Linked DNA regions of Saccharomyces cerevisiae S288C. The gene in region 1 interacts genetically with each later gene. Each region holds a gene or a part of one and is shown on either strand. Other genes may lie near its edges. The genes, in order: ICS3, YLR363W-A, AAT1 and ERS1.

Region 1 (2,575 bases):
TTAGAGAATTCTTCGACCGAGTTGAAACATGAGAACTGTTTCATCGGCCCTATATAGCAATTACATCCTTCCGTTGCTGGGTCCCTGCCTAGATACCATATTTGTTGTTGAATTAACCGCGGGAACCCGCAATATACGAAAGACGAACACAAGAGAGCAAGCACACACAGCTAGTGCGTAGCGTTGCTAGCTATATTGCCATGGTACCTACCTTTCACCTCCTTGTTAAATCCATAAGTGGACGGTTTTCCTAAACCAGTATTTATCAGTTCTCGAGCACGCAGAGAAAAGTAAACGAAGCGACCTGCATTGCGGTAACTATAAACACCCAGCCGCCTCCAGCAGAACCAGCCATGTGCGAAGAAAAACAATTTTTCGGCCAAACTTACCAACAATAGCGACGCGTTCCTCACATCGTTGGGTTTTTTTCGCCTCTCTTCAAGTTTCCTATACCCGAGCTTAACACAACACAACGGACCCTCTTAATTAGAGGTATCCTCCGTTCTTTTCTTCCGCTTTCCTAATCGAGATACCAGAGCACGGAACAGGACCCTAGTGCATCGGAGAGGAGATCCGTGGCACGCTCACTGCGCCTTTCACTATCACCGATTTCGTAATTCGAACAGGAGTATTTCGCTGCAGGGGAATTACTGTTTGTAGACGAGGGAAAGCAATTATCAGATACATGCCAGGGATAGCGTTCAAGGGGAAAGACATGGTTAAGGCAATACAGTTTTTAGAAATAGTCGTTCCTTGCCACTGTACGACCTGAACTTTACTCAACGAAAAAAAAATTGGAAAAAAAATAGTGCATAACGTTGCTATTAACAGATGTAGTACTGATATGTCCCTGATTGGTGAAGAGTCAGAATGATATAAGCCTATTTGATATGTACGTGTACGTATTCGAAAATAAGATTTGTTTCTCGTAGGGAGCGATATGTGCATTATGTTACCCGTTCCACATGTTTTGAACTTTTTTTCTTTTTCATGGTAAGCGTCAATAATCAATTTGAATAACTAGTGAAGAGTAGCTAGCACGATGAAATAAGTGCCGGAGCTGATCGAATCCCTAGTCTCGGTTCGCCTGAAACAGAGAGAAGTCGATTACTGTACACCGTGCCTCCTTCTATGTACAAGCTACAAGTGGTCTTGGTGCCTCCGAGTCTTCAGGCGACGATGCCAATACAGTTTGGCTACGGACCAACCATCGCCGAATCTTCTCAATTGTTGCCAAACAGAACTAATATGGCGCAAAGCGCCGGAGATGCCTCTTTGCAGTATGCTAATCTGAGATCTGCCAATGTGAGTTTCACGCCAAGCTATTTCAACCAGTCTAGGTTTAGGAAGTTTCTTTTGTTTACCAAGCCGACAAACACGCTGTTGAACTTGAGTGATGAAATCATCGATAAGTGTGAAAAAATGTACCCGAGTTTGCAAGAAGACATTGAAATTTTGAGTTTGCAAGATAACAGCGGTTGTGACCTTGATCCGGATTTTTTGGTAAAGGACGTTTTCAATGTAAATAATATCGTAAGAGTTATATTGAAGAATGAGATAGATCTGGACGATTCCGCACCAGTGTCACTTTATAAGTCGGTAAAACGATCCAAGTTGAACAACGGGTCGCCCCAGTCGGTGCAGCCGCAACAACAAATCCCGTCCTCTTCAGGTGTTCTTCGGATTGCCAAGAAGAGGCCACCTACAGGAACCACGACAACAACAACCATTCGTAGTGCCACTAATGGATCCATGAGGGTTTCTACCCCATTGGCTAGGCAAATTTATCCTCCACCTTCTTCGAAGATCGTCTCCAACAACTCAGATGACGAAGACGAAGACATTGGTGAAAGATCCTTTTTGCCGCCTCCAACGCAGCCTCAGTCACCTCCCATAAGAATTAGTTCGGGCATTGACGCAGGTAAAAAAATAAAATCAAGCATCGTCGAGGAAGATATCGTGTCCAGATCAGCAACCGTGGATCCAGATAAAACAAAGCAGCAACGTCTATTGTCCGGAACTCCTATAATGTCCACCATGACTCCAAACAGAGTTACTCTTACCGGTCAGAGAGTGGTTTCTGAACACGCACATAAAAACGAATTGGTTTTCTCTGCTTCAGCTTCTTCCTCTTCATTTGCTAATGGTGGCACAGCTGCTGTCACTGCTCAGGACATTAATAGGAAACCACCCGTAACCACTCCAAGAATAACATCAGGAATGTTGAAAATCCCCGAGCCAAGAATCTCAGAGATTGAAAAAGAGTTAAAAGAGGGACCTTCCAGTCCGGCCTCCATTTTACCCGCTAAAGCTGCAAAGATTCCAATGAAAAAACCTTACTTGGAAAATGGCGAGAACTACGAATCCGACGATAGCTCAAGTAGCGAAAACCAAGAAACTCCTGAAACAGAACCACATTCAAAGGCTTCCTTGCAACGTAGTCAAAGCTCCATCGCAGATAATAATGGCTCTCCGGTGAAAAATAGTCCTCTCGGTGATGCCATGCCACACAATGTGCATTTAGCAGAACTTCCCAAGGCAAGCAATACCTCGATCACCAAATCTTCAAATGGCG
Region 2 (2,836 bases), on another chromosome or scaffold:
GAAGTGAACCAATATCAAAAACGAAAACTTTGTCCTGTACATTCAACTTATTCCAAATGGAATTAGCATAGACGCAGTCGGGGCACCAGCTGGCGGATAACTGGAAATATGGATGAGATTTGATCATCTCTTCAGCTTTAGTAACAAAGGCAGACATTATTTGATGTTGTACTTATTCTATAAATATGCGATATTTACTCCTCTTCTGGCCAAACTGGGAATACATAATTTTACAACACTTACGTCTGCTTAAATAGCAAACCTGTGTCGATTTTTTTTACAAACTGTGGCATCAACACTTAATTCACCATATTGTTAAATTTCTCGCGGGAAACAAAAAAGCAACGCATTTTTTCTATTGGATAACTTAGAAGTTACAAAGCTAATATACAAACACTAGGATCAAATTGGACTATAAAAAATTTGATGAGATGTACCTAGATAGTCCTTACCCGAAAATAAATACCTTTCAATGATGGGCGAATCTTATTCACTTGAAATCATTTAGAGTTCTTCTTACCTTTTTCCAACTCCTTTCTAGTACCTCTCAACAACTCCAAATGCCCGACTTTACTCGCAACTAATCTTTCAGTGGTTTCGGTAAGGGAAGAGCTCTTTTTCAATTTCTTCAGATGTTGCAAAGATTTCTTTTTTGATTTCAATTGCAATGGGGCAGCTTTTCTCAAATTTTTTTGTTTCTTTGTGACCCTACGGGGGTCCTTGGCTTTCTTAGTAACTTTAAGTGGTTTTTGAGGCATATTGTAGCTTATGGACTTTATGAATACTAGTTATCTTTACAAAAGGTGCAAGTAATAATACCATCTCATCGTTAATAAACTGATGTATACTACTATTTTCCAAAAGAACCTGAAAAATTCAATACCTTCGTAAAACGTGACGACTTTCATAATCTCAGAAATTGATTTGAAGTAACAATGAAGAGCGCTTTAATTTAAAAGTTAGTGTAGTGGTGTTATAGAAGAATATTACACCTGCTAATATCATTCATTCGTGAAATATAAGCACCTTCTTTCTTTCCAATTTTGGTCTCCTCAAAAAGCAGGTTAATGACACAATATAATTTCATTATAGATGCTTCAGCTTTTGAAAAGGGTCTAGGCAACATCAAGAGGTGGTGCTCGGACTGTACAGAAGCTGTGACTTTGAACTTTTATATTCCAACATTCACATTAAATGAATTGGATTTCCTTCAACAAAGGCGTAAAAGTTTTGCAGCTCGAGAATCCTTGAAGTTTATCGATAGATTAGATGATTCTAAATTTGCTAATTTGAAAGTTTTTATCGAATTTCCCGAAGTTTTAGACATTATTTTATGGTCAGATGTAATGGAACATAATGATAGTTCTGGAAAGATTAATATTGCAAAATTGCCTAAGAGATTAAAGAATTTGTTGAAAAGTTGTATTTACAAATGCTACCTAGAAGGAAATGAGGGGCTACATTGGTTTTTAATTAGTGAAGATCCTCAAATCCGGGAAATGGCCATGCAATGCAATATTCCTTCCTGTTCAATTGTTGATGTAGATTCAATCTTGTCCAAGGACATGAATGATAAATCATTTAGAGAAAGTGAAAAATTCAATAATATGATGCTAAAAAATGGCACTAAGGAAGAAAGCGAAAACGGTAGAGAAATTATCAGGACTAACTTCAATAAAACAGTTTACGCTTCTAGAGGTACAGGCGAATTGTGGTCCCCATAAAAACAAGCATTTTTCAAATATTTCAATATCATTTTTGATAGATGGCTTTATCTTATGAGAAAAATTGGTAACAGATTATTCATGTGAATGAAACTCTATGGATTATTTCCTTGCTTTTGTCTATCTACCTCCTTTTCCTAGAGCAGGTTATTGAGAAGATATCAATGGTTTGATATCACCTCGCAAAGAAAGGCCTGTTTCTTCGTGCTTCCATCTGTGCGGTCGGATTTTTTTATCAGAATTATCTTACTTGATTTTATTCCAGGGGTATGAGAATCAAATACCGTCATCTAGTTTGGTCTTTTTTTCACAATTGTGATTTATGATTACTTAATCAGCGTAATTGAAAAAAAAAAACCGGTAAATAGCAGATATATTCAATAAATGTCACTAAATATGATATATATGTATTATTTGATAAAAAATCGGCCAGAGCACTTTAGTGCCATAAAAAGAATTAATAAGTAGCCCTTTTTCAAATTATGTGTGCATCCAGCCATGGATGCTGCAGCAATTCAAGGGCACTAGGCCTGTATTGATAATCCAACTCAAATGCCTTTCTTAAGAAATTCTTTCCTTCTGACGTAGCCCAGGAAGGTATCTCGGGGGTCGTGTTTGTGCCTATTTTGAAGATCGCTTGCATTTGAGAAAAATCTGGGAAAGGATGCTTACCGGTAAACATTTCAATGACAACACATCCTGTAGACCATATATCCGCTTTAGCAGTAGTAGCGGTCTGTTTGACCACCTCTGGTGACATCCAGAATACGGAACCTTGCAAAGAAGCTCTCTTATTTTGTTTTTTATTCAAAGGTGATAATTTTTTTGAAATACCAAAATCAGTAATTTTTACGCAACCTTTGATATCAATCAAAATATTTGCACCCTTGATATCTCTGTGAATAATGTTCTTCTTATGCAAATACGCAACCCCAATCAGTATTTGCCTAGTGAAATTAGTAATCAGTGATTCCTCAAATGGACCGTAATTATTCAGCATGGAGGAAACCGAACCCCCAGGAACGTATTCAAGAAAAATATTTAAATTTCCGCCTTCTTGAGAAGCACCATAATAAGTAACAATGTTCTCATGATGTAACTCCTTCAATAAA
Region 3 (3,712 bases), on another chromosome or scaffold:
AATAAAAGCCAATTGTCAAATAGGAACATATCTGGTGGAACAGCCACTTTGGAGTCATCAAATCCTGACCTGCCTACAGCCTTACCATTAAGCGTTCCGGTGACTATCATTGATAAAAATGGAGAGATACACAAGCTTCATAACGATGATGCAGCTATAAAAGATAAGTCGCATGACCGTCACGGTCACAGTAAATTCGGTAGGAAACTGAAAAAAATTTTTGGCAGGAAATGATTTGAAAGAAGAAAACATAGGAAACCTAAAATGAAATGTAAGGATATGATGCACTGCCACCGTAATTAAAATAGTTGGCTAGCGCTAGCTTTCTTTTCATTTAAAATTTAATAACTAGTTCGATCACGAATTAATCCAATCTAGTTATCTGAAAAGTGTATATAGAGTAGATAAAAAAAAGGTTTATTAATTATTACAAAAAATTATTATATTCTATAAATTATTGTGTGGCAAAATGAGAAGGGAAAAGTAATAAAAAAATAAAGACAAAGGTGAACTGTAAGGTGAAAAAATTATGCGAGTTTGTCCATTTTCGAGACTGCTTCAAGAGATTCACATAAGTAATCAACGTTCGAATCATTGACTCCGCTAAGCGACAATCTACCATCACCTGTTAAATAGACGAAGTAATTGTTTCTCAATATTTCGACTTGCTTTGGACTAAACCTTGTATAGTAAAACATACCGTGCTGTTGTGCGAAATTTACAAGATCCGGCCACCCTAGACGGTCAAACATCTCCTGTCTGACGTGATGCAATCTCTGAACCATGAAATCAACATCCTTGAACCATTGCTGTTTCAATTTGAAATCTGATAATACTACATTTACCACACGAGAACCGTATCCTGGTGGAGAAGAATACATACCTCTGACAATCTTTTTTAATTGGGAGTCAATATTTTGCTGCAATGAGTTTTTCTGTTGTAGAGGGTTGAACTTTCCATTGTTCGCAGTTGCCGGCGTGATAACGCTTAAGGAACCAACTCGTTCACCATAAAGGCCCATGTTCTTGGCAAAAGATTGACAAAGAAAGATACCGTTACTCCAATTTGGATATTTATTTACATTGAGACATAGCCTCAATAAATATGCGTCCTTTAGTAAGTTACCAGACTCTAAACCCTGATAAGCCATATCAACAATGGGTACCATTTTTAGCTCATATATAGTATCTATAATCTTTTCCCATTGCTCTTTAGTTGGGTCGAGACCTGTAGGGTTGTGACAACACGCATGCAAGATTATGCAAGGTGGGTTCTTATTGTTTTCTTGCTGGTTGTTATATGCAAAGGTTTTCAATTGCTCAATCCATCCGTCGATGTCTATCTGACCGTCCTTATAATAGGAATACCGGTAAATATTTTCAAAACCATTGTTCTGAAAAATGTTCTTATGATTTGCCCATGATGGGTCAGGTATCCAAATATCTCTTGAAATAAATAATGCCAAGAATTTAGCTGCTACAGCTAGGGCGCCTGTACCACTCAAAGTCTGAACAAAGCTGATTCTATCATGGGCTAAATAAAATGGCCCAAACTGCGGACATGATTCCTTGAACAAAAATTTCATAACGTTTTCCTGAAATTCTTTGGAACCTGTTATTGGTAAATATGAAAGATTCTTATTCAACTCTAAATGAGATTCAATCAATTTTTGAGCTTTTGCAACGGAGGGAAACGTCGTCACTTTGCCCCAACCATCTTTATATATTCCTACGGTCAGGTCAATTTTGTTAACATTTTTTACCTTTTTGAAGTGTTCAGATAACCCCAAGACTTTATCTGGAGGTGCTCTTGGTACTCTACTAAGCGATGACGTGTAGTAGGGCCTCCATAGACTGCAATTAGTAAGCCTCGTCCTCAACATCAAGTCTTTCGGCAGTGAAAAACGGATAGTAATTTTCAAATGAGAAGGGAAAACGCACTCAATAGTATGCTATCGTTCAATCCGCTATCGTCTATTCTGTATTTTTTTTTTCTTTTCAATTGCGACGGTTAGCAATTAGATAACCAAGACAGAGAGAGCGAATACTTGCTAGCAATTTATATACGTAAGCGAAAAATGTAAAAAAAAATATGAAAAATGCGGCATCCTAAATATTGGAGCAAAGCAGAATAGTGCTTCCATACTCCAAGATGCCATTTCCGTCGATATTACATCTGACAATAGGAAGATATGCGAGCTATGACTCCAACAATCACATGAGACGGCGTGCAAAACTCATGGAAGCCATCTTCCGCATCCGAACAATATGAATCATCGACGATGGTCGCATGCAAACGCCCTTTAAAAAGTGAAATATTTAAATATAAACCAATTAGTTACAGCAAGTCATTCGTTACTGGAAGTGAAAGGACTTTGATTACGCAAGGCCTTTTCAACTAGAAGTTCCGAATTTTCCATAAACTTCTCAACAACATCTTTGGTCAAACCAGGCGAAGGTAAAATAGCATCGCCTTTGTTGCTGAACATTGTACCACTGCGTGATTCGATAGCGGGGCTCGCAATCAGGGTGCATATTGTTTTCGCATACGTCTCTGCGCTTTGACAGGTCCAGCTGATTATCCATTCTGTAATGCGGCTGAGGTAGGTGTCACTGCCAAGAAGATTATTACGAATGTTCGTTTTGATCAGCCCAGGGTTCAAACCGAAAGTATCTATATTCGTGTATCTGTCTTTAGCGTCTATGACCAGACTTTCATTGGCTGCCACAGTGTTCATATGTGTAGCGTAGGCACTATACTTCTTTTCATCAGAATTCAAGTCATCTGGGTCTCCCACCTGACCATTTCCTGGAAACCCTGCTATGAAAACTTTTGGCAAATCGTCTTTTTTTGTCCTACTAATTCCTAATCGCTTCGCCACATCATGGAAGATAATGTATCTACTCAAATAGCTCACTGCCATGTCTTTTTCCAAACCCTCACTTGTAGCTTGTCTCTGGCGTGATGCAAAAATACCCGTAGTGAAAATCAGATGTGTTAACTCCTCGTAGGGAATTTCATCACTATGAGATATACGCTTGCATTCTGACACTAAACTTAAATCAGCCTTGACAAAGTTAATTTTATCTTTTAGGTCCTCGTCCCTAAAAGTTTGCCCGACAACAGTAACCCTGGCATTTCTTTGGGCCAGCTCTCTACTTATTGCACGTCCAAGTCCACCTGTGCCACCAATTATGGCCACATTAAAACGACTAAAATCAATGTCATTGATATTTTTTCTTTCCCAACTGACGGTGGGATCCTTTTTCCAGAACATCCTGCTAAATGCGCCAATATACTATTATTAGTTTTTCCTTGATACGTGGTAATATTCTGTTTGTTGGTTCACCTTTTCATTCACTTGAATTGTTTTAAATTTTGTATTTATACCTCTGCCGATTATTCCTCCCCTAATTGATGATTGCAGATTATGTAATATATATACATATATGGACGAGGCCCCTAATTGAACAACAAAAATAAAAAGTGTAAAAACATGCTAGTCTCTATATTGATAAAAATACGTATGATGTCCATATAAACTATACGTCATGCAGCTGAAGGAATCTAACTGAATACTTAATAGGTTTCTATAAATTACAAATGTTTGTATTATTTACGCCATCACGCTCACCTTCTTCCCCATCGTCCATTAGAGAATCGGTTTTTCTTTGGCAGTTTTAGTCTTCTGAAGTTATTGCTCACTAGATT
Region 4 (2,939 bases), on another chromosome or scaffold:
GAGGCGGAGACCTTACAAAAGAAAGAGAAAGAATTGAGTGTATTACCTCAGAGGTCTCAAGAATTAGACACAGAGTTAAAATCTATTATTTATAATAAAGAGAAACTATACCAAGATTTGAATTTGTTCCTAAACGTTATGGGGTTGGTGTATCGCGATGGTGAAATATCAGAACTAAAGTAAGATTTTTCCTGTAATTTTAATGTACTTACGCATGTATTTTTTTTTCTCCCTTATTTTTTATTTCCTACCCTTTGTAGATCATTTATTGTATATGTTTTTATATAAGTTTATATAAGTTTGTTATCCTTTTTTTTTCATAAAAAACCCGTATTAGCATCAATAATACCACCATAGTAACGCAAGAGTTAAACAATGATTGAGAATAAGGTTGAACTGGTAGCAGAACTAGTGTTGGAGTCCATCGGTAAAACTGAGGTGGTGTCACGCCATACAGAGGGAACCAAATCATGCCAAGTGAGTTTTCGCATTAAAGATTCTCCCAGTGAGAAGGGTTCAACATCGTTTCTCTCTGAGCTAGTGGTGATTCAGACTCTGGATGACAATGACAAGTATACTGTTGTTATTCGTCATGGTACGTCGATCACCATGGCATGTGTGGTGGGTTACAGCGATTTTAAATTGCCCACAGAATTGAAATGGCCACTAGAAAGAGAAAGCTTACCTGTGGAGCCAGACCTGAAACCTATAATGACACAACTTAAAAGACAAACTGCAGGTAGTGCGGACATGCCAAAATTTGACGATGAGTACCAGGCACAAGCAAGACAAAACCAGGGAACAGCACCGTTGAACCCATATCCCGGACTTACGGTAACTGAACCGAGCTTCGCTAACCCAGCAGGAGGGTATGCGGATGGTGATCTGTATCCTGTTGGCACAAGCCATCCGGATTGGTCTGGAGGGCTTCCCAATCCTCTGGGGAATCCAAGTAGCCAAGGCGGTATGATTTTCGATCCAAATAGAAGACCTGCCCCAAGACGGGAAGATATGCCGCCAGGATGGATGCCTGGATCCAAGTACGACGAACCATTTGGTCCTGGATCTGGCGGATTTGGAGGTTCAGGATCCGGCGGATTTGGAGGGTCAGGATCTGGCTTTATTTAAATGGGTGTTTATTTTAGTACTTTGTTTATTGTGATATTTAGTTTTTAGATAGTATACAGACATAGCTATGTCGAAAGGGAAGGAAAGAATTTATTGAGCGCTGGTATATACAGCTAAAGTGATATCATTGCGTTTGTACAGGTGTACGAGTAGCGAATCTCCTTGAACTTGAGCAAAACCTTCTGCATCCAGCGTAACTTTCGATAAATCACCGATATCTTCGATCCTTTGACTGCCCACGCCGGTAGACTCTATAACGTTACCGTGAGTATCGAAAGCAATGGTTCCCTTAATATCAGATTGTTTTTCCGCTTCCATCTTTGATTTGGTTTAGGTGATTTGGTTTGAGGTTGTGGTATTGCCCTTTAATAGCGGAATCCTTTATATTTTTTGATAATCTTGAAATTTTAAGGTGAGTTTCCATATGTAAACAAGGGAAGAAAAACTAAAAGCAAACAAAAGCAAACGCGAAGCAAAATGGTGTCGTTAGACGATATACTAGGTATCGTGTATGTTACGTCATGGTCGATATCGATGTATCCACCGATAATCACCAATTGGCGCCATAAGTCAGCGAGCGCGATATCGATGGATTTTGTCATGTTAAATACGGCAGGTTACTCTTACCTGGTCATATCCATATTTTTGCAATTGTACTGCTGGAAAATGACGGGTGATGAGTCTGACTTGGGCAGGCCCAAGTTGACGCAATTTGATTTCTGGTATTGCCTGCATGGGTGCTTGATGAATGTTGTCTTATTGACCCAGGTGGTAGCTGGAGCGAGAATCTGGCGATTTCCAGGTAAAGGTCACCGCAAGATGAATCCATGGTACCTAAGGATTTTACTCGCATCACTGGCCATTTTTTCACTGCTAACCGTACAATTTATGTACTCCAACTACTGGTACGATTGGCATAACTCAAGAACTCTGGCGTATTGCAACAATTTGTTTTTACTCAAAATATCGATGTCACTAATCAAGTACATCCCACAAGTGACGCATAACTCGACAAGAAAATCTATGGATTGTTTCCCCATTCAGGGTGTGTTTCTAGATGTCACTGGCGGTATCGCCTCGCTGCTCCAATTGATTTGGCAGTTGTCTAACGATCAAGGTTTCAGTCTGGATACGTTCGTGACAAATTTTGGAAAAGTGGGACTGTCAATGGTAACTTTAATATTCAACTTCATCTTTATCATGCAGTGGTTTGTATATCGATCTCGAGGCCATGATCTGGCGTCAGAGTACCCGCTGTAGCACACAAGGAGAAATCTGCATAATTACGCATATATATATATATATATATATACATAAATATACATAAATATATGTATGTATGTATGTATGTGTGTATGTATGTATGTACACACATGCATGGTTTAAATAGACAAACCTTGGTGGAATTTATACTTTTTTTTGGTGACGAGGACGTCCGTAAGAGCATCGTCGTCAACAAACCATGATACACGACCAGCAGCACCTTCGTTGACAATACTGCTAGGTAGGCCCTTTTCAGGCCTTTCCATAATGGTCTTGATGATGGGCGCCTTGGTTGCACCTTCGACAACGAAAGTAACCCTGTGAGAATGGCAGATTACAGGTATAGTCAGCGAAATTCTGGTCGAGGGCCCACTAGGAGCGTTCTCCACGGGCACCACCCATGCAAGTTTCTCACGTAGATTGTCCTGGAAGTTAGGGAAGAGTGATGCGATATGACCATCGGGGGCACAACCAAGCAGGAACAAGTCGAACATCGGAAGTTTGACGGAATCTCTACCGGCAAACCCGCGGATTAGCACCTTTTCATA

Evidence for each region.
Region 2: mutations in ICS3 (region 1) and YLR363W-A together harm fitness more than expected from each alone (negative genetic interaction), as found in Saccharomyces cerevisiae (one large-scale study listed by BioGRID).
Region 3: mutations in ICS3 (region 1) and AAT1 together harm fitness more than expected from each alone (negative genetic interaction), as found in Saccharomyces cerevisiae (one large-scale study listed by BioGRID).
Region 4: mutations in ICS3 (region 1) and ERS1 together harm fitness more than expected from each alone (negative genetic interaction), as found in Saccharomyces cerevisiae (2 studies listed by BioGRID).

What each region holds. Positions count from the first base shown.
Region 1 is NC_001142.9:294,114-296,688, forward strand, and holds ICS3 (Ics3p), read right to left. Parts: upstream 949-2,575; coding exon 553-948; downstream 1-552. Other genes in the region: YJL077W-B (uncharacterized protein), read left to right, coding at 1-32; YJL077W-A (uncharacterized protein), read left to right, coding at 686-772; NET1 (Net1p), read left to right, coding at 1,132-2,575.
Region 2 is NC_001144.5:851,383-854,218, reverse strand, and holds YLR363W-A (uncharacterized protein), read right to left. Parts: upstream 759-2,836; coding exon 501-758; downstream 1-500. Other genes in the region: glutathione-disulfide reductase GRX8, read right to left, coding at 1-157; NMD4 (Nmd4p), read left to right, coding at 1,068-1,724; mitogen-activated protein kinase kinase kinase STE11, read right to left, coding at 2,200-2,836.
Region 3 is NC_001143.9:235,707-239,418, reverse strand, and holds AAT1 (aspartate transaminase AAT1), read right to left. Parts: upstream 1,884-3,712; coding exon 528-1,883; downstream 1-527. Other genes in the region: SEG2 (Seg2p), read left to right, coding at 1-234; YKL106C-A (uncharacterized protein), read left to right, coding at 2,153-2,272; YKL107W (putative short-chain dehydrogenase/reductase), read right to left, coding at 2,349-3,278; SLD2 (Sld2p), read right to left, coding at 3,632-3,712. UniProt on the Saccharomyces cerevisiae protein: Plays a key role in amino acid metabolism. Important for metabolite exchange between mitochondria and cytosol.
Region 4 is NC_001135.5:247,482-250,420, reverse strand, and holds ERS1 (cystinosin-like protein ERS1), read left to right. Parts: upstream 1-1,605; coding exon 1,606-2,388; downstream 2,389-2,939. Other genes in the region: deadenylation-dependent mRNA-decapping factor PAT1, read left to right, coding at 1-183; FUB1 (Fub1p), read left to right, coding at 376-1,128; EGO2 (Ego2p), read right to left, coding at 1,219-1,446; SOL2 (Sol2p), read right to left, coding at 2,511-2,939. UniProt on the Saccharomyces cerevisiae protein: Cystine/H(+) symporter that mediates export of cystine, the oxidized dimer of cysteine, from vacuoles/endodomes.